4 linked regions of the Alligator mississippiensis genome follow. The protein of the gene in region 4 binds, or shares a complex with, the protein of the main gene of each other region. Links are inferred from orthologs where the notes say so. Each region holds a gene or a part of one and is shown on either strand. Other genes may lie near its edges. The genes, in order: NCAPG, NCAPH, NCAPH2 and SMC2.

Evidence for each region.
Region 1: SMC2 (region 4) and NCAPG share a complex: the UniProt entries of both Homo sapiens proteins name them as parts of the condensin complex. The link is inferred for Alligator mississippiensis from reciprocal best matches to the Homo sapiens genes SMC2 and NCAPG.
Region 2: SMC2 (region 4) and NCAPH share a complex: the UniProt entries of both Homo sapiens proteins name them as parts of the condensin complex. The link is inferred for Alligator mississippiensis from reciprocal best matches to the Homo sapiens genes SMC2 and NCAPH.
Region 3: the proteins of SMC2 (region 4) and NCAPH2 are in contact, whole or in part, in a cryo-EM structure (PDB 9F5W), measured with the Homo sapiens proteins. The link is inferred for Alligator mississippiensis from reciprocal best matches to the Homo sapiens genes SMC2 and NCAPH2. Residues at the interface, in NP_001036015.1 of Homo sapiens: Leu93, Thr125, Gln128, Asp129, Cys132, Gly135, Leu136, Asn137, Met173, Tyr174, Lys177, Lys178; in NP_689512.2 of Homo sapiens: Glu46, Phe53, Ile54, Glu55, Leu58, Leu59, Gly62, Ser63, Ala64, Cys65, Val66, Lys69, Tyr73.

The regions. Positions count from the first base shown.
Region 1 is NC_081825.1:34,481,625-34,489,267, reverse strand, and holds the start of NCAPG (condensin complex subunit 3), read right to left. Parts: upstream 3,004-7,643; 5' UTR 2,942-3,003; coding exon 2,831-2,941; intron 1,461-2,830; coding exon 1,254-1,460; intron 1-1,253. UniProt on the Homo sapiens protein: Regulatory subunit of the condensin complex, a complex required for conversion of interphase chromatin into mitotic-like condense chromosomes.
Region 2 is NC_081830.1:10,298,179-10,305,974, reverse strand, and holds the start of NCAPH (condensin complex subunit 2), read left to right. Parts: upstream 1-4,785; coding exon 4,786-5,020; intron 5,021-5,244; exon of another isoform or gene 5,245-5,431; intron 5,432-5,776; coding exon 5,777-6,023; intron 6,024-7,043; coding exon 7,044-7,137; intron 7,138-7,678; exon of another isoform or gene 7,679-7,769; coding exon of another isoform or gene 7,770-7,796. UniProt on the Homo sapiens protein: Regulatory subunit of the condensin complex, a complex required for conversion of interphase chromatin into mitotic-like condense chromosomes.
Region 3 is NC_081827.1:1,908,914-1,916,735, reverse strand, and holds the start of NCAPH2 (condensin-2 complex subunit H2), read left to right. Parts: upstream 1-4,811; 5' UTR 4,812-4,900; intron 4,901-5,240; 5' UTR 5,241-5,324; coding exon 5,325-5,432; intron 5,433-5,569; coding exon 5,570-5,671; intron 5,672-5,871; coding exon 5,872-5,927; intron 5,928-7,341; coding exon 7,342-7,423; intron 7,424-7,678; coding exon 7,679-7,750; intron 7,751-7,822. Other genes in the region: LMF2 (lipase maturation factor 2), read right to left, coding at 127-261, 541-679, 1,141-1,319, 1,823-2,019, 2,642-2,670, 4,051-4,304, 4,490-4,586. UniProt on the Homo sapiens protein: Regulatory subunit of the condensin-2 complex, a complex that seems to provide chromosomes with an additional level of organization and rigidity and in establishing mitotic chromosome architecture.
Region 4 is NC_081826.1:165,751,863-165,759,236, forward strand, and holds the start of SMC2 (structural maintenance of chromosomes protein 2), read right to left. Parts: upstream 3,007-7,374; 5' UTR 2,781-3,006; intron 2,734-2,780; exon of another isoform or gene 2,654-2,733; intron 1,795-2,653; 5' UTR 1,721-1,794; coding exon 1,553-1,720; intron 295-1,552; coding exon 145-294; intron 1-144. UniProt on the Homo sapiens protein: Central component of the condensin complex, a complex required for conversion of interphase chromatin into mitotic-like condense chromosomes.

The sequences.
Region 1 (7,643 bases), on a different chromosome or scaffold from region 4:
CACATGCACTTGCTAAGGCGCATTAACATGGTGTGCAGACCGACTTGGGACTAAAGTTAGTCCCAAGCCAGTCGACATACACAGCATTAATACCCCTTAAAGCGTCTAAATGTATGTTAAGGTGCTTTAACTATTTGTGCCTATATTTGATACCTGCTTTTGCAGGTATCAAATTTAGGCATGAATTGCCTAAAATCACCATTTTTAAAGGCACATTAAGGGTGCATATGTGTAGACCTACACCCTTAATGAGTCGTAAAAATGGCTGATGCACCTTAAAAATCAGCACATGTAGACATGCCCATTGCACTATAAGCCAGCCTTACCTTTCTAGTACACAGACAGGAGTTTACAGAAGTGCTTATATCTGTAAAACTTCTGCTGGTTCATCAACCAGAGCTATACTTGTATAAGTGTGTAAAGCTGCTTATAAACAACATCACTGATTATCAAACAGGGTGTCATGGTACCCTGGAGTGCCTTTTGATCCTTTCAAGGCTGCCCTGGGTTCTACACAATGTTAGCACTGTTTAGGTATACAAACATGATTCGCAAGATAAACCCAGAGATTTCAAATAGGAATCCAGTGTCCAAACCATTATGACATGCTGTAGTCTTCTCTAATTCTCTGCTAGAGAAAAACTGCTATATTATTTGTCACTTGGTTTTTGGCTAAGGAAAACTAAGAGCTGACATTTTCCAAGGAGTGCCTTAAAAGGCTGAGAACTGCTAAACTAAATTTACATTTGGTCTTTAATAGCACACCAAAACAGCAAAAGAAAAAGCCCAACACATCTCTAACCAACAAAGCTGTGCCAGTAAAAATTGACAAGTTTTGACCAGTCTCAACCTGATCCACGTTTGACCATCACATTAGTCTGGAGAAGAGAAAACTGAGGGAGGATTTAATAGCAATCTCCAACTACCTAAAAGGTACTTACAAAGAGGCTGGAGCCAGACTGTTTCTGTTCCAGGATGGAGCTAGACTGCTCCAGTTGCAGCAAGAGAAGTTTAGGTTAGATCTTCAGAAAAGCTCTCACAAGGAAGGTAGTAAAGTACTGGAACAGGTTACCAACAGGTTGTAGAATCTCGATCCTTTGAGATTTTTAAAGACCTGGGTAGCCTTATCTGGGATGCTGTAGATGAACAGTCCTGCTTTGAGCAAAGGGCTGGACTAGATCAGTTGATCTCCTGAGGTCCCTTCCAACCTTAATCTTCTATGATTAATAATTGAATAAAAGCTGTTATCATACCTTAAGTAGGAAGTTAAACGAGTAATTCAGAAGTGAATTGTTTTCCTCTTCCTCAGTAACACCCTCTTCATTTGCTTGATAGAGTGAACTTATGAACTTAGCTGCAAAATTTATCACTTGCTCTACTGCGGGTTCCCGCTTGTAAACTACCATTGGATATTTAAGGAAATTAAGAAACTCCTCATGAAAATTTTTCTTCTCATCCAGCTGAAAGATAGCAATCACAGTGATTTGTGAATGAGTGAAGGGAAATGATTCATCTAGTACAATATATTAATGAGCACCTGCAGGCATACCCACAGAACATGAGAAAGAGTCTCTCAAACAAGTAGCAACTGTTTGAGGTGTGTGCAACCTTTCGGCAACCAGACACCAAGTTAATACAGCACAGGTCTCCTTGGGCTAGAGGCATGAGGTGACAGAGGCAGCCACTGGACTGGCACATTCTCACGCAAACACACTTGGTGGGCAGGATAAAAATCACTGTGCAGCCAGATCTGGGTTATGGGCAGCCCACCCCAATTTAGATCCTTACGCTAAAAACAGACCACTGGTTTAAAACTGGTTTTGACTTGCATGAAAACAGGCCAAGAGAATCATTTACACAGGCATCCTGAATAATAATTACTGTATTTCAACTGTATATACATCAACATAGTGTCTAAGTCAACCCCATTTTTCTGATCCAAAATGTTACAGATTTCATAGATCCAGTGTATAAGCCAACCTAACTTTTTTAGATCAGAAATTGGGGGGGGGGGGGGGGGGGGGGGGAAGAGAGGCAGAGACATGCCACAGCGCCGCTCACACGGGACAGGACTGGGCTTGGCTGGCACAACCTCATCCCCCGCAAGTGGCACTGCCTAGGCTGTGCCAGAGAAGAACTGAGCCTGGCGCCATTCGCAGGGGATAGGGCTGCACCAGCCAAGCCCCGAGACCGGCCCTGTCTACTGTGAGTAGCGCTGCCGAGCACCAAGCCCAGCCCTGTTCCTTGCAAGCAGCACCAGACTCGGTGCTCGGCTGCCACGGCCCAGGCAGCACCACTCACAGGAGACGGGGCCACGCCAGACTAGTGTCGAACCCAGCACCGCTCACAGGGGATGGGGACAAGGCTATGCTCAGTGCTCACCTGGCATGGCCCCATCCCGTGGGCAGCGCTGCCTGGGCCACACCAGCCCAGCGCCAAGCCTTGCCTCATCGGCAGCAAACGGTGATGCCGAGTGCAGACCCTAGCCCTGCCCCCTGCGAGCAGTGCCCAGCTTAATTAGCCACCAGGCCCCCAGGGCAGTGGTTCCCAGTCTGTGGCACGGGCACCACCAGTGGCACATGTTAACACATGCACGATAATTACTTTACGATGACAAAAAATGTGCTGACGGTACTTCACGCTGTATCGATTTAAATTGGCGGTGCGCAACCTGTCAAGAGTGTAGGAACCGCAGCCCAAGAGTATTAATCAAGCTTCCCATCCAACTGCCTCCGGCGGGCGGGACGGGGCGGCGCCCGGGCACCTCATGTGTGACGGCGGGGCCCGAGCTCCCCATGCATCGGCCCTGGAACCCGGGCCCGTCGCTCACCTGCGCGTAGGTCCGCCTCAAGGCCGCCACCAGCTTCGCCTGGCTCTGCTGCGGCTTCTGCGCCAGCGCGAAGGCGTCGCGGATCGACAACAGCTCCGCATCTGCACCCATGGCTGCCACGACCCGCCAACGGCCACCGCCCAACGGCCCCCGCGCGCCCGCTTCAAACGCATCACGTGAGGCCGCGCCAATCTCGCGAGAACAGAAGCGGGCGGGGCCAGGCTGTGGGGTTCTCCCGAGGGTGCGGGCGAGGTGGCCTCTTGTTTCGCTCGCGCCGCCTCCAAGCTCGCCGGCCGCGGGGCAGGAGAGAAGCTAATTTGGTTTGGAAAAAGAGAAGCTTTTCATGTTGTTGAAAAAAAAGACCAGAAAAACCCAACAACCCAATATGAGAAACAATTAGGTTTTAGAAAAATATAGAAAAGCAGAGGATTACGTACCTAGCTACATGCAAAATTAGTTTCCCGGCTTCCGATGTGCCTTCATTGCACCTGCATGATGGTGCTGGAAAAGAGAAAATACAGGGAGGGGGGCGACAATCGACTCTTTCAAAAATTTTATTGTAAAAAATTCTGTAATGACAATGTAAAACATGTTTTCTGTAGCATTTTCACAATTAGTAAATGAAATAATTATTTTTAATAGGTTGTAAAGTTTAGTTCATGTAAAAAAGGAAAACCTTAGATGACAGATATTAATGTGCTTATTGGAAGGGAAAGGAAGCAAATACGATGCCAAAAGTCAGAGCACTCACCATTAACAACAGAGCAGCTCTCATCCTTGGGATCCTGAAGTCTAGACAGTGCCGGTACAGCCTGGATTCTCACATCTGGAAATGTATCCTTCAGTCTAATCAGCTTGGGTTCATTAATTTATCAAACAATTCATCATCGATCTGGGCATTTTGTGGCATATTTTCCAAAAGTTTATTAACAAGCTGGCACACTCAAAATCTAACTTCATGGCTGCTTGCATTGTGAGACTTAAAGGAAAAAAAGTCAAATACATTCACTTTTTCTTATTTCTAATATATGTTATACAGCAATGCATGCATGTACACACTGCACTGCCTGAACACATATCATATGCATATGTTGTTCCATACTGGTCAGACCCTGACTATGATTCTGCAAGAGCTCATTATCAACTTTACTATTGCAAACAATCCTATTGAAAAATTGTCAGGGAACTAAATTGCTAACTAGGGTTTTTCCCCTGAATCTTAGTGGTACTAATTTCAATATGTACCCTTGTTGAGTAGATACAATTTTCAAACCCTTGCACCGTGGCAGGAGTATGCAACAGGTGGCGCCACACTACACATATCTGCAAATCACTGCTCCATCCCACCATGAGTTTAGACCCGCCGCACAGGCAAAGTAACCATCATGGAGCCCAGCTAGAAAAAGAGTCAACTACAAAGTTAGTGCTTGAAAGGGTGCAACAACTTTCTAGCTGGTTTCTGTCCAGCTTTAGTCAGACTCAGTAGTGCCTGTAGTATCTCTCATGTCCCTGCAGTAGATGTTTAGTCCACCCAGCCAGGTGCAAGGGGCTGGCTGAGGGGAGAAGCACTTTCCCCCACTGTCCCAAACCCACAGCGCAGGTCTGGGGAAGGCATTGCCCCTTGTTCTGCCCCTAATGGTGCCAGACAAGGAAAGATATACACTTCACCCAATGAAGCAAGTCAGCTGTGCCGCAACACATTGCAGCTCTGCTCCATTCTGTGATATCTTTTCTAGCCTTAGCAAGCCAAGTCCTTCTCCTCCCAGCTTTGATGGATGAGATCTTGCAGCTGTGGTTCTCAACCCTTTTGGAGTTGAGGTGCCCCTCAATACCTGTTGTTGAAATGCAGGGCCACACAGTTAACTAGTTTATCTATTACAGCGCTACCTCTTTGTGGAGGACCAGGCAGTAGGCAGGCAGGGAGGGATTAGCCAGGCAGGGACGAGCCTGAACCTGCACTTACCTCTCGTTACACCTCAGGCACCCCATGGTTCCACAACTCCTGGGTTAAGAATCACTGTTTAAATCAGGGGTAGGCAACCCCCAGCATGGGTGCCACAGCATGGCACGCAAAGGCATTCTGCTTAGCATGCACACCTGGGGGAAGGGGCTGGGGCTGCGCTGCCACAACAAGGATTGGGCCCTTCATGGCTTCCCCGCCATCTGTACCTGGCACACCAGCATCTTACAAGTGGAGGTGTTTTTGGCACTCTGCCCAAAAATGTTGTCAACCCCTGGTTTAAAAGCTCAAAGATAATGGGAGAAATTTTAGAATCTTTGTATTCTCCTTTGCCTGAGGAAGGTATGTGAGCCTGAAAGCTTGAAAATAAAGATTTTTTTTTTTGCAACTATCTAGATGGTGTAATAAAAGATATTGCCTCTGCCATGCTGACTGCTTTTGGTTTCAGACCAACATGACTACAACCTTTATCTCTCAAAAATAAAGGAGGCATGTACACAAAACCCAGAAACATGAGGCAAGGGATTTGACTTGCTGGTTTTGAAGTCCTGGAGCTGGCAACCTCATACCTGGTATTTAGATTAGGAGGGAGGTGTGGGTAGAAGCTGGAGAGGGTAGCTTGGGCAACTCTTGCTATTAGAAGAGTGAAAATCCTCCTGTGAGACTATGTTAAGATAATGACCATGCATTTACCTGTAACTTAAAGCGATACCACATTAAGCTGTATTGTATAAAGGGTTGGGATGATTCAACTGTCTTTGCAAGGGCATCTTTACTATTAACTGAACTCAAATTGGGTTGCAAAATTAGAAGTTTTGGGATGAATATATACAGCAAGTGTCTGGAAACAATATGGCTTTAGTGACATAACAAGTTTAGGTTTGTACTAATATAAAACAATTTAAGGTTATAAAACCTGAGTGCTAATTTAGCAGGCTAGTTGAAGACATAATCTTAAAGGAAACAGAAAAAAATAAAAAAAATCCTCTCATGTTTTGAAAACCAGAAGTCCTGGCAGAGCCAGATGGATAGAAAAAAAATTAGATTTAAGTCCTATTTTCTTGTTAATGCACCCCTCCCCCATTGCTTCAGGATAGTGAGGCACATATTTGCTGCTATCCACAACTAATCTAGTTTATGCCCCCAACCTTAATATAATACAAACGTTTTCTTGGCCTATCATATAATGTAACTCTGCAAACACATAGTTACTGCAACTGAAGGTAAATTATACGTGAGGCTTACAAACAAAGCCATACCAAATTAGAGCTGCATACTCCATGAGCTCCTCAGCTCCATAGACAAATTAAATAGAATACATTTAATATAACCACAGTTGCAGGCAACAGATTCTTTACCAAAACATCTCTCTGTTACAAACATAATGGGTCTCCAGAGATGAAGAATAGAAGGGACCAGCTTGACACTGTTGATGCTCATTGTCCCATTAATTTGAGTTTGAAAGTTCCAACAGAAAACCTCACTTTAACTTTCCAGGTTTACATTTGAATTTTACCAGCAGCCTTCATGGTTTTGTAAGTCTTCCACCCCCAAACAATAAACACTTACTTAATCTTTACACAGGAGCATTTTTAATTTGAGAATAGTAGGCTACAGGAAATCCACTGAAGCACTAAGTTTTAAATAAGGTCACAGCCTAGTCACTGTTAGGTTTGTTTATATTTCCTAAATTGCCAGAGAAGAAATGTGTGATCTCACTTACCTAAGCTGCTCTTCCCCCACTATTTCCCTAATCTTTCACCTGATTTAAAGATTCACCTACTTTCTCCACACTAGCAAAGTAAATAATTTAAAATTAAACAATAGACATTCTGATTCACTCTTTTTAAGGGTTTGAAAACTATATCTACTAAACATGGATGGATATGGAAATTGGTACCACTAAGATTTAGGGGGAAAACCCTAGTTAGCAATTTAGTTCCCAGACATACTTTGCAATTTTGAATTAATCTATGAAAGAGTTTATTGTTGTCCTCTTTCCTTTATTTGCTATATCTGTCTCTTAGCCAGCACCATCATACAGGTGCAATGAAGGAACATCAGAAACCCAAGGAATTAATTTTACGTGTAGTTAGGTAATCCTCTGCTTTTCTATATTTTTTCTACAATCTAATTTTTTCTCATACTGTTTATTTTGTGTGTGTCTTTTTTCAACAACATCAAAATCTTCTTTTTTCCAAACTAAATTAGCTTCTCTTCTTGTTTTTATAATATTTCCCTCATTTCCTCCACCATCAAAAATTCTACTCTTAATCTTTTCCTGCCCCAGCAAAAATTTCTCTTTCAGCCATGTGGTTTCTACCTATACCATACTCTCATTTTCCTATTTTCTCCTCTTCTGTATTGGTCTACAACTTTCTCTATGATTTGTACCCTTCTCTTCTACAACTTTTGTTCTTCCCACATTTTTCTATTTAGGTTCACGGTATGGGAGTAAGAAAGGTCTTCTGATCTACCCTCTCTTTCTTTTAAGATCAAGGCAGAAGTGAAGCTCTCTTGCAGGCAGCTGCTATTTTGGGTGGTATATTTGGTAGTTTAACTCAGTTAACACAATTTAAGCTAAAATTGTTTTTTTATATATATCTATCAATTGCCTAGCCAAATGGACAAAACTAGATGTTTTAGTAACATGTTCTTAGAGGCCCACTTTTAAATAGAATCTTAATATGAACAGTTTAGTTGTAGTAGGCCTGATTTTTTCCCCTCCTTAACATCTTGCTTAATCCTTTCCATCTATATAGCATGAATGCGATATGAGTGCAAACCAGTACAAAATCTGAACCACAAACATTCCCACTTTGCAGAGGTATTAACAATGCCACAACATGGAAG
Region 2 (7,796 bases), on a different chromosome or scaffold from region 4:
GGAGGAGCCCTCCCTGGTGCACATCTCCAAAGGCCAAGCACAGCTGTGCAGCTACTTTAAATGGATGCTGTAAAACACTGCAACAAAAACAATAAATGTTATGCTGTTCAGCAGGGATCCAGGTTTTCCATTTCTCTTGGAAAAACCCAGCTTTTTCCCTTTGAAGCGGGAAACTCTTGAGTTTCCCCTTGCAGGCTAGCAGAGTTCTGGCCTGCTAGGTGCTGCTGGTAGCTGGGGGAAGTGGGGGGAGAACAATCAGTGGCAGGGGGTGCCACAAGCGTGTGCTTGTGTGCGGTGGCTGGCAATACAGCTATGCAGGGTGATGGGAGCAGCCCTGGTAACTGGAAAAAAGTAAGTCTATGGGATGGAGGCAGGATGGAGAGTCAGGACTTGGGGAGTGTTTTGGCATGGTCCAGGCACACCCACTGGCAACATCAGGGAGGGGCACATGCTCCCCCACAGATTTCTGCATGGACAGCAGGGTGTGGGGCACAGGGCTGCAGCCTAGTCAGACTGGCACTAGGCAGAAGCTGTCCCTGTAGCCCAGCAAGCAGAACTCAGCATGGGAGGGCAGAGTAGGGTGGGGAGACTCGATGCTGCTGTCACTGCTGCAGCCAGAAGTCCTGCACTAGCTGCACTGCCTAGGTGGGAAGCCTTTTGCAAGTCCAGCAGCAGTGGGGACGCGCAACTCTGTACTGCCCCCACTGCTGCTGGGTAGGCAGGTGGTGCCTCGATACAGCAATGCAGCTGGTATGGGGTTGCTTTCTGGCGGTGGAGTGGCAGCAGCACCTAGTCTCTCCACCCCACTCTGTCCTCCTGCGCTGGGTCCTGCCCACTGCACCAGGGAGGCTCCCAGGGGAAGGGCAGCAGGGCAGGGAGCACCAAGCCCCCCAGCAGGCAGTCTACAACCCCCCTTCCCCCCCCATTTCACTCAGCTCCACTCCCAGCCACAGACAGAGAAGGGGCCCAGGCTCTGCGCTCTTCCCTCCACTGGGGCCACAACAACTGGGTTTTCTGGTACTACTGGCTGGCTGCAGCTGGTGCTTGCAAGGCAGGGAGTGAGCAGGATGCAGCCCAGGCAGCTGCGGGGGGGACAGGGGCTGTAGGTGGGGAGTGAGGAACACTGGCAGGGACAGGGGCTACATGTCACAACGGACACTGGTGAGGAGGGGGAGGGGGCAGTTGGGAGTGAGGGGCATGGGTAGGGCTGGTGGGACAGGGAATTGTGGGTTGGGAGTGACAGGGCACCAGCAGGACTGGGGGCTGTGGCTTGGGAGTGAGGGGCAACGGCACAGGCAGGGGCAGGGCACTGCCATATCAGGGTTGCTCAGCACCACAAAAGAGCAGAGGGGAATATCCACAGCTGGACCTGCATCCTGATCAGTGAAAGAGGCAGAGGAAACTGATTTTTTTATGATAAAAATACCAAAATCAAATGCCAAAATATATAGGTATTTAGAATTTATTTTATCAATGATTAAGGCACTGGTAGGTTTCCAAATTGCTTTAAAATTGTAAATATCTCAATAAAACATTGTGTTCAACTGATACCTATATAGTGGTACTTCATTTTAAGTGTGGAAAAACATGGATTTGGGGGGGGGGGGGGGGGTTAATTAGCAAATTTTGGATTTTTTAACAAAGAAAACCAAGATCCATGTGATCAGTGATTGGAGTCACACAGTAAGGGATACAGACTGGGGACTGACTGAATAAGGAGCAGCTCTGCAGGAAAGGACCTTGGGGTTACAATGGACAATAGGCTGAATATGAGCCAGCAGCGTGCCCTTGTTGTCAAGAAAGCTAAGGCATACTGGGCTGCATTAGTAGGAGCATTGCAGCAGATCAAGGGAAGTGAGTCCTTCCCTCTATTCAGCACTGGTGAGGCCATATTTAGAGTACAGGCAGTCAACACAATTGGTTCTTGCAAACCCTGTCTTACATCCAAATTTTGTAACTCAGAACCAATTTTCTCATAAGAAACAATGTTATAAATGGGGGATTGGTTCCTAAACCAAGGCCCAATACCCTATTTTCACCAAAAATACCCCAGAATTTTGTACTCATTCAATTATAGATGAGTAATATAGCTACATTAATGTATGTATATTGTAAATAGCAATCATATTGATTTGGAAGGACTTCTCTGAAGTGACTTTGCTGGACTTTTTGAAAGGCTCTTGGTTGGACTTTTTGAAGGGTTCTTGGCTGAAGTCCTCTCGGGAGTCTTGACTGCAGGTTTTTCTGGAGTCTTCGCTGCTTTCTTAAAGAAAGTGCCCAAGGAAGTTTGGCCAGATGTTCTCCAGGGAGATGAGTGATGCAGTGAACTTGTTTGCTGGCATGGCGTCACATTGGATCAAGTGTTGTAAAGTCGAAACTGGTGCTGTAAAGTTGAAACAGGGTGTCGATTTATGTTGTAAGTGTGAAACATTGTAGTTCGAAACATTGTTAGTAGAGGACTGCCTGTACTGTGTTCTGTTTTGGAACCCTCACTACAGAAAATACGTGGAATAATTGGCAACAAAAATGGTTAATGGGCTGGGGGACATGATTTATGAAGAGAGGCTAAGGGAACTGAATTTACTTAATCTGTAGAAGAGAAGACTGAGATGGATTTTAATAGCAGCCTTCAACTACCTGAAGGTTGGTTCCAAAGAGAATGGAGCTAGACCAGGAGTGGGCAAAATGGTGGATCCAGGTGGCTAGACTCCAGCACAACGGCTATGAGGAGGTGCATGTCCCTGCCTTAAAGCCCAAGCTCTTTGGCTCAGAGGAGGTAGATGACCCAGCCCTGTCCCACTGGGTTGGTGGTGGAAGGGTTAGGTTACCCAGCATTCCTTGCTGCCACTTCATAAGGCACCTGCCCTACCAGTGACTTTTTCAGTCTCAGCACAAAGCTGAGTGGTATGAGGGGCAGCCTCTAAAGCAGGGGTGGGCGAAGTCCAGTTCATGGGCTGGATCTGCATGGCAGTGGATTCCATTTCCCAGCAGCCCCTGCCCAAGTGGCTGGGGCCAGTTTCCACAGAGACCCCAGCAGTAGCCCTGCAGGCCTGGGGTTTCCTTGGAGACCAGCCCCAGCAGCCTGGGCAGGGCACACAGCAAGGCAGGGACCATGCTGGGATCTTGCAGCAGTGACAGTGTGGTCAAGAGCCACGGCACAGCTGTGATCTGCAGCCTGCGTGCTCCAAGCAGAGGCATGCAAGCAGCAAATCACAGCTCTGCTGCAGCTCCAGACCATGCTATCACCACTGCAAGAAGGCAAGGCAGAGCCACGATCCACTGTCTGCACGCCCCTGCCCGGAGCATGCAGGCAACAGACTGCAGCTCTGCCGTGGCTCTGGACCACGGCATCACCGCTGCAAGATCCCAGCCTGGCTGGTCTCCATGGAAACCCCAACCCCAGACTATCACAGCCAGGCTGCTGCTGGAGTTTCCATAGAAACTGGCCCCAGCCATGCAGGCAGGGTCTGCTGGGAAATGGAGTCTACTGCCAGCCAGATTTCGCCTGTGACCCAAATTCTGCCTGCCCCCGAGCTAGAATGTTTTCAGCGGTGGCAGATGACAGAACAAGGAGCAATGGTGTCAAGTTGCAGCAAGGGAAATTAAGGTTAGATATTAGGACAAACTCTCACCAGTAGGGTAGTAAAATGCTGGAACAGGCTACTCAGCGAGGTGGCAGAATCTCCATCCTTAGAGGTTTTCAAGACCTGAGTAGAGAAAGCCTTGGCTGGGATGATCTAGTTGGGGCTAGTCTCACAGTGTGAGTTCGTGCCTGGTGCGCTTTTGCCAATAAACACACAGGGGTGGAGGATCCAACTTAATCTTTATTGTTTCAAGTCTGCGCAGAGAGGGGTGCTTGGCAATCATTTGCAAAGCAAGCACCACCGGTTTCTACCTTTGGGTACCTTTTATACATATGTTTGCAAGTGTATCGCTCAGTGATTGGTTACAAGCCACTGACATAAGACGTTCTCTACTGAGCATGTCTCTATACCTATGTTTTAGCCATGTATTTCATTTACATACATATATGTTTCATTAACATACTTTTGCTCTGCCCAGGGGTGTGATTTTTAGCATTATAATGAGACCTTTTTTTGAACTTCTTGCTATCTTACAGGTGTCAGGGAGACGTTATCCTGCTGGTGTTAGGGAGGCACTCCAGGAATCCTCCGAATCCCACACGCTGTGCTTTGCAAGCATCTCTTAACACACACATACCACACCCCTCCCAGCATCTGCAAGTTGCCTTAAGTATTGGGTTAGATATAGTTTACAGACGCTAGATATACCATAAAAAAGAGTACATAAAAAGATTACATCAGTTGGACTAGATGTGACCTCCTGAGGTCCCTTCCCACCCGCATTTGAGGTCATGAAGGAATTTTACCCCATCATCAGATTGGTGCGGATTAAGGGGCAGGGGCGGGGAATTGCCTTGCTTTGAAGCAGGGGCCGTGGCGGTCTACCTGGCACCCTGGTTAAGAGTCACTCGTGCAGTCCCTTGTTGACCACAGCACTGCTGTCTGCCTCTGCCACCTCCCGTGGCCACGAGTCCCAGAAATTAACCCCATGCAGTGCCTCTTGTACGTTGTAAAACCGTCTCTTTCTTGCAACCTGGGACTTGGTGAACAACAGCACCCTGTTTGTCATTGTAGTTTGTCATAACTAAAATATATAATTGTAACAGCATTCAAATTGTACTTACCTGAAAGGATAAGGAGGGCTGCCCTGCACAGGGGCGGTGTGAAGAGACAGAGTTTGCCTCAGCCCTCGCCGCACAAAATGGCGGCCGAACGCAACAAGATGACGCCGCTCGCTGCGGGCAATGCGCACAACATGGCGGCCGGCGTTGGGACTTCCGCTACCGCAGGCCACACCCCCCCTGACGCCAGAGCCGTTACCAGCGTGATTACGCCATCCGCTCGGCGCCTGCGCGGTGGGGTGGCGCGCGTTTTTTTGAACAGAGAAGAATCGGATGATCGGGTGAAGTTGAGTTTTTGCTGCTGCAGCGGAGCACGTGAGTGGGGCCGGGGCCGGGGCCGGGGCCGGGCCGGGGCCGATCAGGTGTGACGGGCGGGCGGGAGAGTGCGAGTGCCGCGAGCTAAACGTGGGGGGGGGGCAGTGATACCTCACTCACTGTCCGGCAAGACCTCCACGCTGATTGGCCGGGAGGCGGGAACATGCTGAGAGTTCCCTGCTGGTTGGCTGGCAGGTGGCTAGTGGCCGAGGCGCTCTTGCTGCGGGTCCCGCCCGACCCTTTGCTTGTGCTTGTGGCAGGGCCGTATTTCCTTGTGTATCTGCACTGAAATGACCAACCGCGGAACTGGGGGAGGAATGTGTATTTGCGAGGCAACACTGTAGTGGGGCCGTGTTTCCTTGTGTATCTGTGCACTAGTGCAGGTTCCAGCTACCGGATTGGGGTAAGAAGGTGTGTCTGCAAGGAAATACGGTACTGGAGGGGGCGCCCTTAAATTTTGAAATACCGTGGGGAGGGCAGGGTACATGTCACTAAATTGGGAGAAGCTGCAAGGAAATACGATAGTGGGGTCCATATTTCCTTATATATCTGCACACTGCAATTTCTAGCCACTGTATTGGAGGGGGGAGGGGTGATGTGTTTGCAAGGAAGTAGTGTAGGTGGGGGTTGCTTTGGGGAGGAGGGCAAGTTGCCCTTGTAGGTGAGGTCTGTGGAGTTTCACTGGGGCAGCTGGAGGTCACTGATTCATTAAAAAAACCCTTTCTCTTTCTTCCATTCCACCCCCTCCCCTCCCAGCAGAGATGAAGAGCTCAACACCCCAGTCCGCCGGCCGCTCCCTGAGCACCGCCTCATCCTTCGATAGCGTGTTTGTGTCCCCCAGCACCCGGCCCCAGGCCCTGAGTGCCGGCAGCACCCCTGAGCTGGAGAGCTTGGCCGGCAATGATGATGAGCAGGAGAAGAAACAACGTCGGCGCTCACGCATCCTTGACCTGAAGCTCAGCAGCACCGAGTCGCCCCTTGTGGTCAAATCCCCTGCCATCAGGTAAGAGGGCTGCTGCGGGGCTCCACCCATGGGGTGAGGGCAGACACGATCCGAGGTTAAAGAGGCAGGGAAGAGATAATGGAGGGATATGATCCGGGTTTGGATGGGGAGGGGGAGTGACAGACCTGATCTTGAGTTAAGGCGGGGGAAGACGGATGAACAGACACAATATGGGGTTAAGGGGTGGGAATGATGGGGAGACATGTTGGTGGTTAAAGGGGGGTGGGGGGGAGAAATGAGCGGGGTTAAAGGGGGGCAGGGTGGACAGACAGACATGATCTGGGATGAAGGAGGAGGAGCAGGGGTGAGGGTGGGCAGACACAGATGTGATATGGGTTTAAGGGGATGGGCTGACAAGCATGATTCCGGAGTTAAGGGGTGGGGTGACCATAACTATTTTAGGAAAATCTGGGATGGGGAGGTGTGCAGGCTGGGGCCAAGACCTGCTGGGGAGCACAGTGCCTTTTCTCATCAGAACTGGGGCCGTGCTGTCAGCCGGGCTTGGTGGCACTGCAGGGGCTCTGTCTGACTCATGGCTCTGTCCCAGCACCTTCAGCTGCATCCTGGCCATGAGCAGTTGGGCAGGCAGAGCCAGCCTTGGGCTTACACCCATCTGCCTGGTTAGCTTCTGTGACAAAGGCACCATGTTCCCCAGCACATCCCAACAGCTACTCTGGCCCTATGTACTGCCATACACCTGTGCATGTGCACTCTGCCCTGCAGCTCCCAGGAGTGAGGCCAGGCAGGACAGTTTGGGACATGTGGCCAACCTATACAGGGGGCACAAACCTAATGATGGGGCTTCTTGGTTGGGGGAGATGATCTGTACCTCAGGCTGGGTTAGTGGGGTGCCTGCTATTTATCTCCTCCCTGAAGCCCTAGGCCCTCCAGAAACTCTGGGACAGACCTGGCCCAGGAACAGCAAGTTAGATGCCCCTATCACACGACACTTCCCTGTGGTGTTCTCTGGAGGTGCCCAGTGCTGAGCTCTCTAAAGCAGAGGTTCTTGTCTTTCTTCAGGCAGGCAGACACTTCTCTGCCGGTGATCCCAAGACTGACAAACGCTCAGATTTCAGATCACTACTCAACCTGCTTTAAGCTGTCTGCAGAGAATGTGAGTTCAAAGCTGTGGCTTGAGGCAGCTTTAAAGATGGCCAGCTTCTTATTCCTCGGGCTGGGAGCATTTAAAATGGATTAGTTTTAGGCAGGCACCAACGGGAGTTCAGGGATTTCTTCCTGGATTGCTGTTGGGAGTAGGCGGTTTATTTTGGGGGGGGGGGTGTGCAGAAGCATCTGTGTTGTGGATTATGAGCACTTCTGGGCTGGAACAGTCTCCCCGTCCCTAGGATGATGGGATCCTGCTCTGGGATAACTGGGGCAAGGAAATACCATCTTTTCTCTTAGACAAGGCTTGCCTTTTTTTTTTTTTTCTCCCAAAAATTGGCCCCCTCTCCCAAATTGGGATGTGTATATTAAGCAGGATGGCTGACTTTTTGCCTCGTATAGTAACACCCTGCTTTTGATTCTTGCATTACTATTCGGGCACCTGTGGTGGTCCATTGACTTAATGGCTCATTTGCTTTTCACTCCAGAGAGGATAACTCATTTCTCCGTTATAGTCATGATGTTCCACTAATCGAGCTAATCTTTCTTAGGGCAGTCTTGCTGTCTACTGCCTGCTTCGGGTCTCTCGCCTATTTCACAGCTTTGGAGACCCTTTAGCTCTCTTCAACCATAAATCCACCTATGGAGACCAGTATTCAGCAGCAGCTA
Region 3 (7,822 bases), on a different chromosome or scaffold from region 4:
GCATGGTGAAACCCAGGGGCTGCTAGGGGTTGCATCCTGCTAGTGTCCTGGGGTTCGAGGGGGCACGCAGGCCCAGGTGTTGGACTTAGCAGGGCCCGCCCTGCAGCGAGGGGGGCAGTGCCATACCGATCTTGGATTCAACGTGCTGCTTCTCCCAGTTGATGCCCAGGCCGAAGTACAGGACGGTCCCGTAGAGCAGCAGCCCGTAGACCGTGAGCTCCACCAGCGCGGAGAGGAAGGAGGACAGGCTTGGCGGCCAGGCTGCGGGGAGGAGATGGGACAAGCCGCGTCACGACGGCTGAACGCTGCCAACACAGAGCTACCCGCCAGTGTCTGAAACGCAAGCCCTCTGTGTGGGGCGTTGACTCTGAAACCTAGCGATGGCTGCTTGAGCTGGGCTGGCAATGCTCTATCCAGCCACGCACTCCTCCCACAACTCCCCTAGCTGCACGGGGAAAAGGACCCACCCCTGCACCCATACCCAGGAATTGGGGGCGCTGAACCCAGAGGAGAATCTCCTCCTCCCCACAAGGGACTCACCGGTGCCGTGCCTCTTGCGGCTGCGCCCCAGCCAAAGCCCCACGTGCTCGTCGTCCAGCAGTGAGAAGGCCAGGACGATGGTGAGCAGGTTGAAGAAGTTGTAGTTGCCCGTGAGGATGATCAGCACCTGCAGCAAGACCTGTAGGGACCCTGGGAGCTCAGAGCCAGGGCGGGGGCACCGTACCAGAAGCCCCCTGACACCTTCCTGGGGGCTGGGGCGCCCCCTCCCACCCAGACCCTGCAGGGTAGGAGCTCTGCATGGCACTGATTGCTGCATGGCCTCCCAGCCCCATTCAATCTCTGCTGCCCAGACATGCAGGCGGCAGCCGCAGGACCCTCCTCCTGCTGGCGCCAGGGACCACAAGGCCAGGACTGTGGTGCAGGGAGATGCCTGGGGCTGGAGCGTGAGGGACAGGCCTGCTTTGCATTCAGCCCGGCTCCGTGGCTCCGAGCCTCAGAGGGTGTAGATGACAGCAGGACCCTGCTTTTGCCCACAGACCCTCAGGCATCAGTCTGTCCCCTGCAGCGAGGCTGGGACCCACACAGCCCATGGGGCAGGCACAGGGCCCCGGAGCCCCCAGGCCCAGCTGGACCACGCACCTGGCAGTAGAAGGCGAAGAGGCGGAGGCGGCGGATGGGCGCGAAGAAGAGGGGCGGCACGGCGATCTCGATGACGTAGGTGGCCACGACGCTGAGCTTCTGGAACCAGACGGGCAGCTGGTGGGCGTACCAGGCAGCTGGCGTGGGGATGCACTGCGTCTCGTAGTGGTAGGTCAGGGCTGCGGGCACACAGCGGGCCCCCGGGGCAGGCGGTCAGAGCGGGGCAGGTGCCTGGCACGGAGGGTAGCGAGAGGGTCTGGAGCAGGAGAGGGGCAGGGTGCGGGGGCAGACGGAGGGACACCACCCACAGACCAGGCCATACAATCGGAGTCCTAGAGTTACGGGGCTGGCAAGGAGCTGCGAGGTCGCATCCCGTCCAAGCCCTGCCTGAGACAGGATCAGCCCTGTCCAAACCAGCCCGGACAAACACTGTGCGCGGCCTTGGAGCTACATGACACAGCCCCAGGCATTGCCCCCGCCATACAAGGGGGCTGCCAACATCCTGCTGCTGCCAGGGGGGTCATGGATGTTGCAGAGATCCCAGGCCGACGCCGTGCCCCCGCTGCAGAGGAAGGCAAAACCCCGGAGGGGCAGCACGGCCCAGTGGGTGCAGGGGCTGGGACTCTGCTACCAGCACCAGGGCCTGCCCGGGTGGCCCTGAAGGGGAAAGCGGGGCCCTCACCTGTGAGCCCCCACCAGGTAGGGCAGCGACTGGTCAGCTTCACCACGCCCGAGGCGAACATGAGCCGGAAGAGCAGCCAGCGCATCAGCCAGAACGGGAGCCCGTCGTGGGGGCGCCAGGCCGTGCTGCGCCACTTCAGCAGGTGCAGCGGAGCCACCAGCACGGCCAGGAAGCCGATCTCCAGGAGCAGGCTGTCCCTGCGGGGAGAAGAGGGGACATACCCAGGGGTCAAAGCTAGGGAGCTTCGGCCGGAGGACAATATCCAGCGCCTGCCGGAGACCCCGGCCCTGGAGGAGCCGATAAAGGCATGTGCTGGCAGAGGGGCAGTCACACAGGGTTGCCCCCCACGACCGGGCACTCAGGCCTTGGTGGGGGCACAGAGCTGCTAGGACAGGAGCCGTGTTCCTCACTGCTTCTGGAGTCCACGTTCCTGCCTCGCCTCAGAGCAAGGGCCCCTGAAGCCCCCATGCCGGAGCCCCAAATGCCTCCGTCGCTGCAGCCCGGGTCCAAATGCAGCCTTGACCTCGCTTGTGGAGCTGCGGGAGGCCGCGACAGCCACGTCCTGGCTCCCACGTCACATCTCCACAGCCCCAGGCCACACGTAGGATGTGAAGCGTCATTCCCCTCCCTTCTCCTCCCCGCCCGGGTGGGGGGCAGCGCGTTGCTGGGATCAAGGGGCTGCTTGGCCTGGGACAACTCCAGCTTTGCTACGAACTCTGGGCAGCGAGGGTGCCAGGCAGCCCCAAGGCCCAGCTCCCACGTGTGTGCACACACATGTACACGCGTGCATGCGGACAGGCCAGCACGGGCAGCACTTACCACTGGAAGTACAGGAACACCTGCCCCACCTGCGGAGAGAGGGAGGGCCAGGGTGAGCAGGCACGGAGAAAGGTGCCCCCCACCCCTCCAGAAGGCACAGGGCGAACAGGGAGACAGAGACGTCTGGCTCCGTCGCCAGGATATCACCCAGCTCCCTGGAGCCGGGCCAAACCCAAGGACGGGGCCAAGGCCAGCCCAGAGAAAGACGGTGCCTGCGGCCGGTGTGCCAGGGCCGGGCCGTACCAGGAGCGGCAGCAAGAGGAGCCGCCCGGCTCTGGCCTAGCGCCCGGGACAGGTTTAGTCATTCCCGTCCGTTCTGGAGAGGCCCGAGGGTGCGAGAGGCTGCAGCTGGGGGGCAAAGGGCATCCGCGGGGGCAGCTTGTGCTGCACGGCCCCCGGGCCCTGCCCGCAGACCGATCGCTGCAGCTGCTCCGGAGGGAGGGAGCTGGGAGGAAGTCTCTCTCCAGCCTCCCCTTAAAAGGGCAGACGCAGCGAGTGCCCAGCCCAGCCCGGAGGAGGGAAACGCAGGCTCTGGGGGAGCTCCGGAGGGGGCACCCCCAGCCCCACGGCTCGGCAGCCCCTGCACCACGCGGCCCAGGCTCCCTGCCCCAAGGGGAACGCCTGGCGGGGGGGGGGGGGGGGGGCGGGGCTCAGCTGCAGCTGGGAAGAGGCAGGGCACTCGGACCCAGGGGGGTTCAGTGCTGCTGGGCCCAGATCTCGCGCAGGCCTTGCTGCACCCGGGCGCCGTGGGGGCTAACGCAGCCACTGCCCTGCAGGGAGCTCGCAGCAGGCTGCAGCATGAGCTTGACGTGTCCGGAGCTTATTTCCTTCGGTTTCGCGAGGAAGAGAAACTGCCCCCCCCTGCTCCCAGCAGCTGACTCACCCCCCCCCCCGCCAGCTCCTCAGAGCCAGACAGCGCTTCCACAGGCCAAACCCGCGTGCACACGTTACAAAGCCCCGGACGCTGCGGTGCACATGTCAAACACACTGTAACCGTGTGAATGCGTGTTAAACACGTGCGCACCAGGATAGAGTTGCGTACATGTTAAACAGGCTAGCGCTGCGTGTGCGCGCATGTTATGCACACGTTAAACAGCCCAGAATTGTGTGTTTTAAACAGGCTCAAACTGTGCACGCGTGTGTTAAACAAACTACTACTCTGCGTGGTGATGGTGTTAAACAGGCTACAACTGCGTGCGTGCTAGGCTAGAACCACGTGTGTGCACGAGTTTTAAATAGGCTAGAACTGTGCACGTGCGCGTGTTTGAACCAGGCGTGCGTATGTGTATGCCAAACCACGTGCACGGGTGTGTGCCCACGTGCGAAGCTATAAACGTATGTGCGTGTGTGAAGCAGCGTGCGAGCCTGACGGAGGCGTGCGGTCGTGGGGCGGGTCTGGGGGCACGTACCTGGTAGAGCGAGAGGTAGAGCGCCCAGAGCAGCAGGAAGACGAGGGCGTCGCGCAGGCGGTCGCACACCAGGGCGCCGAAGGAGGCCAGCACGCCCAGCAGGCACAGCAGCTCCATGCCCTGCTCCGTGTCCAGCCCCAGGCGCGGCCCGAGCCACAGCAGCGTGGGCGCGTCGCGCAGCTGCTCCCGCAGCGCCCGGCCCGTGAAGCGCAGCGTGCGGCGCGCCGGCAGCACCCCGTCCCGCCCGTACAGCCCTGCGCACAGCACACCGCCACCGCGTCAGGGCGGGCGTGCAGCACCGTGCACACCCCCTCCCCCTGCCCCACCCCACCCCACCCCCCTAGCGTGCACTGCACCGCACTGCAGTGTGTACTGCACTGCACTGCACTGCACTGCACCGCCCCCCCATGTACACAGTGCAGTGCCCCCCCCCCCGTACCGGGCAGCTGGCGGTAGAGCGAGGCGAAGGCGGCGAGGTAGGCGGCGGCGATGCCGGCCAGCAGCAGGCGGCGGGCCAGGCCCGCGGGGTCGCCCATGGCGGTGCGCGGCGCTGCACAGCTCCGGGAGCCGCCCGCCGACGGGGCGGGGCCCGCGCAGGACACGCCCCCACCGCCCCGCTCCGCCCCGCCTCGTACACGTCAGCGCGCGGCGCACGTCAACCTCGCGCGGGAAGCGCCAAACGGCCGCCGCGCCTCGGGCCGGCGGGGCGGGGCCCGCGCAGGACACGCCCCCTGCCCTCCGCCCCGCCCCGAACACGTCAGCGCGCGGTATACGTCACTCTCGCGCGGGAAGCGCGAAACGGCCGCCGCGCGGGGGCCGACGGGAGCGCGCTCCACCCCTCCCAGTGCCGGTGAGTGCGTGGTGCGGTCCGCGCCCCCCCCCCCCCACGGTGCAGTGGTACCCCCCAAAAGAACCCCCGCAGCCCCATGGTACAGTCCGGACCGCACAACCCCCCCCCCACTGCCTCATGGTACAGCCTGGGGTGCCCCGTGGTATGGTCCAGGCCCCCCACCCCACCCCATGGTACAGCCCGGACCCCCACCATACTTCATGGAACAGCCCAGGCCCCCTATCCCCCCTCCCCCCATTTCCGGCAGACCCCCTGGCACCCCCACCCCCTGCAGCGGGAGTCCCCGTGTGCATGCACACGCGTGTGGTGCTGAGCCCTCACCTTGCTTCCCCCCCTCCAGCAGTGCCCCGCCCCTGATGGCAGCACACGGGTGAGAGGGAGACGGAGCCGCCCCACCCCTGCCCCCGCCCCGCCGGCCGGCGCGATGGACGACGCGGAGTCGCGCTTCCTGCACCTGCTGCAGCCCATCCGCGACCTCACCAAGAACTGGGAGGTGGACGTGGCGGCGCAGCTGGGCGAGTACCTGGAGGAGGTGCGGACACGCGGTGGTGCGGCGCGGCGCGGCGGGGTGGGGGTCGCGGCGCGCGGAGAGCCCGCTGGACCGGGCCGCGCGTCCGTGCCGCTCCTGCCCGCCGCGGCCAGCAGCCCCTGCTCCTCTTTTCCCCGCAGCTGGACCAGATCTGCATCTCCTTCGACGGCGGCAGGACCACCATGAACTTCATCGAGGCGGCGCTGCTCATCCAGGGCTCCGCCTGCATCTACAGCAAGAAGGTGAGCGCCCGGAGCGAGGCCAGGCCGCAGGGAGCTTCGCCAGGGGCCACGCGTGGCTGCCTCCAGCCCCGGCCTCGCTCTGCGGAAGCCGAGTCCAGGGATCGGCCGCCCGGGAGAAAACCCCTTCCAGGGGCTGCGTTGGTGGAGAAGACGGGCAGCCGCAGGGCCCAGCCCTCAGACCCGTCACTTTATCCCGGCAGGTGGAATATCTCTACTCGCTGGTCTACCAGGCCCTCGACTTCATCTCCAACAAGAAGTAAGTCAGGGCCCGAGGGGCCTCTCCTGCCAACTGGGCTCAGTGCTGGGGGCTCCCCCAACGCCCCTGCAGCCGGCTTGGACGGCGGATCCGTGCCTCGCCGGCGCGGTCCTTTGCCCTCCCTGAGCTTCTTCCGAGCCAGGGCCTTGCAGCGTGGCGCGGGGTTGAACCGGTCCCTGCAGCACTCGCTGCCCTTGGCGGGGGGAGAAGCTGCCTCTGGTTTGTGGTTGGCAGCAAAGTGACCTGCCGGGTCCGGGGAAGGAGGCGCTGGCAAAACTGGGGGCCAGTGCCCCACCGTGTGCTGACGCCCAGCTCCAGGCGTGGGGTCTGCTCCCCTGGAGCTGCTGATCCCCGGGCGATGCAGCGCTGCACGAGGCTCGTGGGCATCCATGGTTCCCTTTGGGACCCCCTGGCACGGATCCAGGATCGTGGCCTTGCGTTGCGGCAACGACAGCCGTGTTGGGGGCCCAACGCCCCTCATTGGCAGAACAGGCCTGCTTCGGTGCTGTGCCAGGCGTCTCTGGGAGCTTCCCCCTTGCCACGTGCCCCTGGCTGTCCCCAGCGCTGCCCGAGGCGCTCCCCCACGTTGTCTTGGGGCTGGTGGCAGCTGCGGCTCTTACCGAAAGCCCGGAAGGGCGAGGCTCTCACCGCCCTGGTGTGAAACTGGCGCTGGGCTCCTGCCCTGCAGCCGACTTCCCCAGTGAAACCTGCTGTGTCAGAGCCGGCGCCTCTACGCCGGGATGGACCCTTGCTGCGCTCTGTTGGGTTGGGCCCGGCGGTGTCTGGGGCATTGGAGCTGCTGCAGCTGCGTGACGGTGACTGTCATGGAGCCAGACCTGGTCTCTGCTTCCCTCCCCGTCCCGTTTCCTGGCTCTGAAGCATCCTGGTGGACCAGCCCATGCTGCAGCCTGATGCCACGGGCCACCGGGGACTGCAGCTAGCTTCTCTCGCATGGAGCTGCCTCCATGGGTGTGTGTCTGGCGCGTTTTGTGGGCACCCGGCACCTCTGCCCCGTCTGCCAGCAGGGAGAGACCCTGGTACAGGCCTGCCTCCAGCGCGGCAGGCTGTGGCCCCGCTGCCAGCTGTGCCCTTTGCTGGGGGAAGGCTCAGCGTTGGCTGTCCCTGGAGAAGCCACATGCCCATCGGGGGACTCGCCCTCTTCGTTTGCCCTCCTGGACTCTTTAACAGCAACTGAGGCCAGGCCTGTCTCTGACACGTTTGCTCATGGGAAGGGCCAGACATGCCTGGTAGCTGCATGCGTTGCCTGCCCTGGAGCTGGGGGAGACGGGCCGTGACTTCCTCAGTGTCGTTGGTTGGGGTCGCACCGATGCCCCAGTCGCAGCCCCAGGGAACTTCTCTGCTGACAGCGACAGTTTCAGATGCCTGCACTCTCTTGTTTTCCCTCCTGACCCAGGCGGGACAAGCAGCCTGCGTCCGTGGGAGAGGACGGCCACGATGCCGACGCCACTGTTAGGACCGGGACGGAGGAGGAAGAGGTAGGATGGCCGGCGTGGGGCAGGCGAGCCCTCGCTGCTTCGGGGAGGCATGCAGGGAGGTCCAAGGTCGTCCTAGGCTGTCAGGAGCTTCTTGTGGACTGTCCGGTGCTCTTGGCCGGGTGCAAGAGCTCTTTGGGGGCTCAGAGTGGATACTGGCAAACCCGCCTGTCGGCGTCCCAGACGTGCCGTCTCCATCCAGCTCTCCAGACCCTCCGCCGCTGGCCTGCTCAGCGCTCTTCGTTTCTCTCCGCACAGTTCCTCTCGCTGGATGACATTCAGGATGCGTCTGCAGATAATGTGAACATGAGGAAGGACCATCGGCCCAGCGTAAGAGATACCGTCTCCAGCCCCGGCCTCTTGTACCCCCTTCCTGGCAGGGGTTTTGGGTGGATCCCACCT
Region 4 (7,374 bases):
GCAGGCTGCGAGTTGCACATCCCTGCTGTATAACATGCAGTGGCTAAAACGAAGAGCAAATACTTGCATCTTGAATTCAGTTTCTATCAAGAAGAATGAAAAAATCTGTAAGCATTTCTGAACAAATAAAGGCTAAAAGCTTACCTGCCTGGTGACGGTGATCTCATCATGAGCCTCAAATCCCAGAGGACTTTGTTTCTTGTCAGAATTATCAAAGGTGATTGATACAGTTGCTTTAGTAATTCCAGCCTGGCCATTTTTGTAAACCAAATCTTGTAAATTGGATGCTCGCACCTGAAAATATGGAAGAGACATGAATGATTAACAAAGTCATTGTATTAATAGCAAATGGGGAGTCAACTGAAATGTCTGACAAGTAGGCATGCTATAGATTTATGTACCTTAGTAACTTTCAAGAACGAACAAACTGTGGAGGTATAAAAAAGGCTGCAGTATAAAACAATATACAAAAGACCAGCCCAATTTTAATATGTCAATTAAAGATTTTTATAAGAAATTAATGAAAAAAATTAAATGGATAAATATACGCAGCAAGATGGTCTAGTCTAAAACACTGCTCTCTTCATGATGGCATCTATATGAGATTGTAAAGATGTTATACTAAATATTCATTGAGGTTCTAATGGATTACTGAGTCTAAACCACACTTTTAAGCAATTCTAAAAGTAGATACAGATCTTCCTAAACATACATATTACTTACGTAAATGGTACTATGTGCATAGTGTTACTTATTAAATATTGTTATTATTCTTTGCTTTTAAATAATAAAAAGCCTCTTTTGCTAAAAAAAAAAAAATAAAATAAAAAAAATCATCATTTAACAGTATTCTCCAGAGATTCCCACATGCATAATAAGGAAATGAGTTAGCATCCTAATCTGCTTTTGTATTTCTATTTTATAAAAACGTTATGATTTCAATCTTCTGCTACTTTTGTCCCATGGCTCTAGGTTGCAGACTGCATACTAATTAATTGCTATCATTATTACAAGCTAATTATATTATTTTTACATGTTAAAAAACTAAGCGAAGTAAAAGGGACCACCATTCAGTTTACAGTCGGTTGGTAAAAATGACTTCTGCCTTAGGCGAAACATCATACCTGATGGTGTGAGAAATGGATTGCTTTGTTAGTACAACTACAAAAGCTATATATTCACATTAGTTTATCAAACTGGAAAACATCTGAAAAAGAATTGTTAGCAGCTGCAACATTCCTTGATAAGGACGCACTCTATGCCTGACTGTAAAGCAATCTTGCTAATGAGGCATCAGCAATGATCACATCATCATTTTTACTTCTCAATAGAATCCTCCGATTTGGATTGAAAAATTTTAATCTTCACAGAGTGCAGAAGAGGAAGTGTCAATCTTCCTCATTTTAGTTAAAAAAACAAAACAAAACAGTAAAGCCAGCCACACATTCTGTGAAGGGGGAAAAGGATGCTGCCTGATGATCCTGTTCAACAGGGAGAAATTTTATTGTTGCTCATGGTCATTCAGAACCGTGTGTTTCATCTTGCTCTTTACCTGAGATAGGTTGGAGATGCCCAACAGGAAACAGATGGAATCCAGGATATTGGACTTGCCGCTGCCATTTAAGCCAGTGATAGCATTGAACAGTGGGTCAAAGCCATTGATTTCTGTCCTCTGGGCATAGGACTTGAATCCCTCAAGGATAATTGACTTGACATGCATCTTTTTGGTCTCTCGGAAGGACCATGCCAAGCCTCCCTTCAAGGGGGATGAGGAAAGTTCTCCAGTTTATAGTGCTGCAGGTTTCAAAACAATAAAAGCAGACCAAATCAAAACAGAGTGCATTCAACAGAATCAAAAGCACAAAGCAAATGGAAAAGGTTACAATGCTGCCCTAACAGACAATGGTAGCTGCTCCCTCAGGCAGGGAAGTCATCAGGGTGCTGCCCAAACATTACATTGACATTCGTCCAACAAAGGGCAAAGGCCCTCTCCCCCAAGCTGTTATTTACAATAAAATATGTATGGATTCATGCCTCATGAATGTTTCTCAGCAAAGACATACAGCTACTGGGGGAAAAAAACCCCTCAAGACAATCATCTTCCTGAAGACGGCAAAGTCGACTTATTTTTCCTTTAACAGTGTGCATGTTGTGGACGCCTGTCTGCATTCAGAGCGCAGCGTGACTCTACACATGGTTAGGGGTTTGCTGAAATAACAAGTTCATAAATTAAACAGACAGACAAGGTCCTTTGGGTGAATCTGTTATCTCCGATATCAGATTCGCCCAAAGAACCTTGTCTGTCAATGTCCTTCAACCAACACGGCTACAACCTACACCGCTGTAAATGAAACACACACACACACACACACGTATGCATGCATATTATATACACAGGCAGACAAGGTTCCTTGGGTGAATTTGATATCTTTTATTAGACCAACCCAAATAGTTGGAGAATAGTTATTAAGCAAGCTTTCGGGTTCACACACACGCACGCATAAACATGCGCACGCACACAAGCACATAGATATACACACCCTGAAGAAGGAAGTTTATGCCCCAAGCTTGCAAACAGCAATTTCCCAACTATTTAGTTGCTCTGATAAACGACATCACACCTGCCCACAGGACCTTGCCTACCTGCACGCACCTCAACTCGTGCACGGCTAATGCCGGCTGCGCACGGGCGCCCTCAGAACGGCGGCCGCAGCCCCGCGGGGTCCACAAGGCGGAGGCGGCTCCCCCACCCCACTGCCCGCGGACCCAGCCCCCCTCACCTGCCGCCGCCACCGCCAGCGTCCGTCGCCTCGCTCAAATTTTGGCGCCCAGCGGAGGCGACCGTTTGCGGCTGTCCCGCGCGCTGCCGGACGAACTGGCCACCGAGCTACGCCCCTAGCGCCTCTCCCTCCCGCGGCCACCCGCCGCCTCGGCACGTTTTCTTTTTTCTTTTTTTTTAATTTTTTAATCGATTCTTAAGGCTAAAAAAACAACCGTCGATTCAGGCACCTACTGGTGTCAGCCATAGCCAGCAAGGACCCCCTTCCCCTCCCTCTCCCCTGCTCAGCGTTCTGATTAGGGACACAGGTGGGTGGGGCCTTTGAGAGAGCCCGTCGCTGTGCGGGCGCAAGAGGATGACGTAACAGCAGTAGCGGGGCGGGGTAGGGTAGAATAGAATAGAAGCGTGCGCGGGGGATGGGGCAGTGCTGGTGCTGTGATTGAGGGCGTGCGCGGGCCGATGTAGCCGCAGCGCCCCAGCCTCGCGCTGCGGAGCTGCTAGCGGCCTGCAAAGCCCATTCCTGCCTCAGCTTTGCTAGGGTGTAGCCACCCTCCCCTTCCCCTCCACAGGGGCCCCTGTAGCGAGCCGGCCTTGCGCGGCCTAGTTCGTAAGCAAGTGCCACAGTTTAGGCCTGTCCCTCAAGGGAAGCTTTCTGGCAAAACCTGCTCAGGTTTCAGCGCTCTGATGCTCAACAAGGCATAGCCACGTCTGGCAGCGCAGAGAAGACAGAATTGAGGAAACGGGTGTTGGAAACTGGTATTTGGCCACAGGAAGCAGCCGATTTGGCAAGATAAGCAGCCAAAAGGTGGTGGGAATATTCACGCTGCAGGTCTCCTCTGGGTTGTTAGCAGAGGGAATTGATCCCAGCCCTGAGCGCAAGGCTGAGCCATTAGGGCAGTACTCCATAGGTTACGGAAGGCAGGACAGGGTTGACCCTTAGAAACGATGTGTGCAGCATAAGATTTTGTGAGCCTGAGCTCATTTCAGAGCTCGTGCTATATGTCACTGATTTTAGCTAGTCTGTAAGGTGCAAATCTACTGTGACTTCAAACTGAAGAAGGTAGCTGGCTCCATCCATGTGCTACTGCCATGGTAGCACAGGACAGCACTGCAGTGATCGTAGTCTTGCATCCTGAGCACTAATGCTGACAATGGAGCCCTGTACAATGCCAGGAATAATCACAGAGCAAACAGCCATAACGAAATGACAGCAATAACTTGTTAGAATTCAGGAAATGAGTATTTCTGCCAAGTATTTAACCACAATGACACAAAGAAACAGCAATCTCATTACATCTGTTTAATCTGCAAAGTGATTATTACCAGCACTGCATGCAAGGCTGGTTTGGTTTGGTTTGGTTTGGTTTGGTTTTGGTGGCCAGTGACTCATGGATGTGGCTTAGCTTTAGCCAGAGCAGTAATATCACTGTCCATCGCTACAGGGAGACCTGATCTAGTTAGCAATCCCTCTCTTCGAGAATGATCTCTACCACAGCTCTTTCATGAGTCTTGAAGTGACTTAAGTGTCCAACCCTTGAGCCACAGACGTGTCCATGGAAGTCGCAGGTCTTTCTGCAGCAGAAAGTAGGCCGTAGTCTGGGCTTCCTCTCCTTTTCCTTCCTCTGCTCTCTCTTCTTTTCAGGACAGGATGATTTACTTCAGTGCAGGGTGTTTCTCAGTTGAGGTTGCAGTGCTGTCGGAGTTAGTTAGCAGCCAGCTCCTCCCTGTTCTTGATGTCAGCATCTGTTTTCCTGAGGTATGCCTTCAGTGTGTCCATGTAGCATTTTCTTCGTTGCTGTGAGATCTCAGGCCACAACTAGGCTGGGAGTAGAGCACTTGTTTTGGAAGTCTAGAGTTGAGCATCCTCATACGATGTCCAGTCCAGCAAGTTGGTGCTTGATGATTGCCACCTCAATATTACGCGGGAGCGGCAAGAGACGCGCGGGTGAAAGCTCGCTGTGCCCCCGCTCCCCCGAAGCCCCCCAGAAACCCTCCAGCAGCCGCGGAGCCCCCCGCTGACCCCCAGCGCAGCCGGGGTAAGCGGGGCCCGTGGAGAGAAGGGGCTAACCCCTTAGTGTGTGTGTGTGAGGCGGCAGCTGAGTGGAGCCGGGCCGGGTCAAGCCCCGCCCAGGCCCCTACTTGGCCCAGCCCCCCAGGGAGCCACACGATCGGAGCCGCGCGAACAGGCTGCACAAACAGGCGCGCTTCTCTGCCGGCGCGTGAGTTAGCACGGAGTTCGTGCGGGAGGGCGCCAGACCCTGCCTGCGCACCCCGCAGGGTAGACAGTCCCAGCCGTAGCCAGCCTACCAGAGGCATGACACGGATGGGCAAGCGCCGCACCCCGAGGGTCCCCTCGGGCTCCGCGGCCCCCCCCTCTGGCACCTCAGAGACGGCCACCCAGACGGAGCCCCTGGTTCCGGGCTCCATGCAGACGGAGCCCCTGGCTCTCGGCTGCGGGGGCTGCCTGTCCCTTTTTCAGGCTCTGGGGCCTGGGAGCATGGCGACCTCCCCTTGCGGGGTCTGCTCCCTTTTGGGGTCTCTGGTGCGCCAGCTGGAGGAGCTCCAGGCCACAGTCCACAGACTGCGTGCCATCAGGGACTGCGAGCAGGAGATAGACTCCTACTGCCAGGCCCTTCTCCCCCGGGAGGCAGAGGGTAGATCACAGTCTCCCTCCAGGCCAGAGGAGGACTCTGGGACCTCCTGCTGTGTCCAGCCAGGGGCATGGACCAAGGTGGTCAAGGGCCCTAAGGCCCGCCGCACCAAGGCCCCACCCCCGCCACAACTGAGCAACAGGTATGCACCTCTTGCTGCCCCAGCAGAGCCTGCTGAGTTGCCGGCCCCCACAGGCAACATGGGCCCAACTGCAGCTCCCGCCCCTGCTCTCCCCAAGACAAAACGTAAGGTGTTTGTTGTGGGAGACTCCCTCCTGAGGGGGACGGAGGGGCCAATCTGCCACCCCGACCCCTTAGCCCGGCAAGTCTGCTGCTTCCCGGGGGCCCGCATCCGGGACATTGCGGAGAGGATCCCCAAGCTCCTCAAACCTACAGACCGCTATCCCATGCTCCTTATTCATGTGGGCACCAATGACACGGCTCGGAGCACTCCCAGCCAGGTCATGAGGCGCTACAGGGATTTGGGAGCGGGGCTTAAGGGTCTGGGGGCACAGGTGGTGTTCTCGTCGATCCTCCCAGTCTCAGGCTATGGGCTGAGAAGGGACAGGAGGATCTATGTGGTCAACCAAAGACTGCGGCACTGGTGTCGTCAGGAAGGCTTTGGCTTTCATGACCACAGCCCGCTCTTTGGCGAGAGAGGCAGCGAGCTGCTGGGAAGAGATGGTCTCCACCTCTCTCCCCTAGGGAGGAGGCTCTTCTCAGCCAGACTGGCTGACCTGCTCCACCGGGCTTTAAACTAAGCCCGCTGGGGGACGGGGGCACGACCGCCACTGCTGGCCCGCTGAGCAAATCTTGCAAAGCCAGCGGATCATGGCACTCAAGGGAGCCCTCCCCAGCCCCAGCCCTGGTAAAATCTGTGGGCAAGGAAGGAGCCCCCCAGGGGGCGCTTGCCTGCCTGTACACAAATGCCAGGAGCTTGGGGAATAAGCAGGAGGAGCTCATCCTCCTGCTCAGTGCAAACAATTACGATGTCATAGGGATCACAGAGACCTGGTGGGACTCCACCCGTGACTGGACCACGGGGATAGATGGCTATACCCTGTACAGGAGGGATCGTGTAGAGAAAAGGGGTGGGGGTATAGCTCTCTATGTTAAGGAAAGCTACGCGTCCCTGCAAGCCGATATTGGCGACCAGGGTGGACGGCTGGAGACCCTCTGGGTTAAAATCCGTGGGGAACACGGCACAGGGGACACAATGGTGGGAGTCTATTACAGACCTCCCACCCAAAGTCCTGAGCTAGACCAGGAGTTTGCCCAGGAACTGGCTGAGGCAGCTTGCTCCAGGACCATGGTTGTCATGGGTGACTTCAATTACCCAGACATCTCGTGGGAGGATCGCTCAGCAAAATCTGAGCGGTCGCAGAGCTTCCTCTCGTGTGTGGATGATCTCTACCTGACTCAAGAAGTCTATGGGCCAACGAGAGGCAAAGCGCTGCTCGACCTGGTGCTGGCTACTGGGGAGGACCTAGTCGGCGACCTAGTGATCGATGGGAAGCTGGGTGACAGCAACCACGAGCTGATCACCTTCACCATCCGCCGAAAAGCTGGCAAGTCGGTCAGCAACACGCAAGTCCTTGACTTCAGGAAAGCCGACTTTGACAAGCTCAGGAGGCTTGTCAGTGAGGCCCTAAGGGACTGTGACCGCAGGGAGAGGGGAGTTCAAGAAGAGTGGTTGCTCCTCAAGGGAGCGATCCTCAATGCACAAACTAAGTCTATTCCATCTCGGAGGAAAGGCAGCAAGAGGGCACAGCAGCCCCCCTGGCTCTCCAGGGATCTAGCAGACCTCCTGAGGCTAAAAAGAAAGGCCTACAAAGGATGGAGGATGGGAGTCACCTCCAAGGAGGATTATTCTGCACTGGTCCGGTCCTGTAGGGAGCAGACCAGGAAAGCCAAGGCTGCAACTGAACTCCAGCTAGCTTTGAG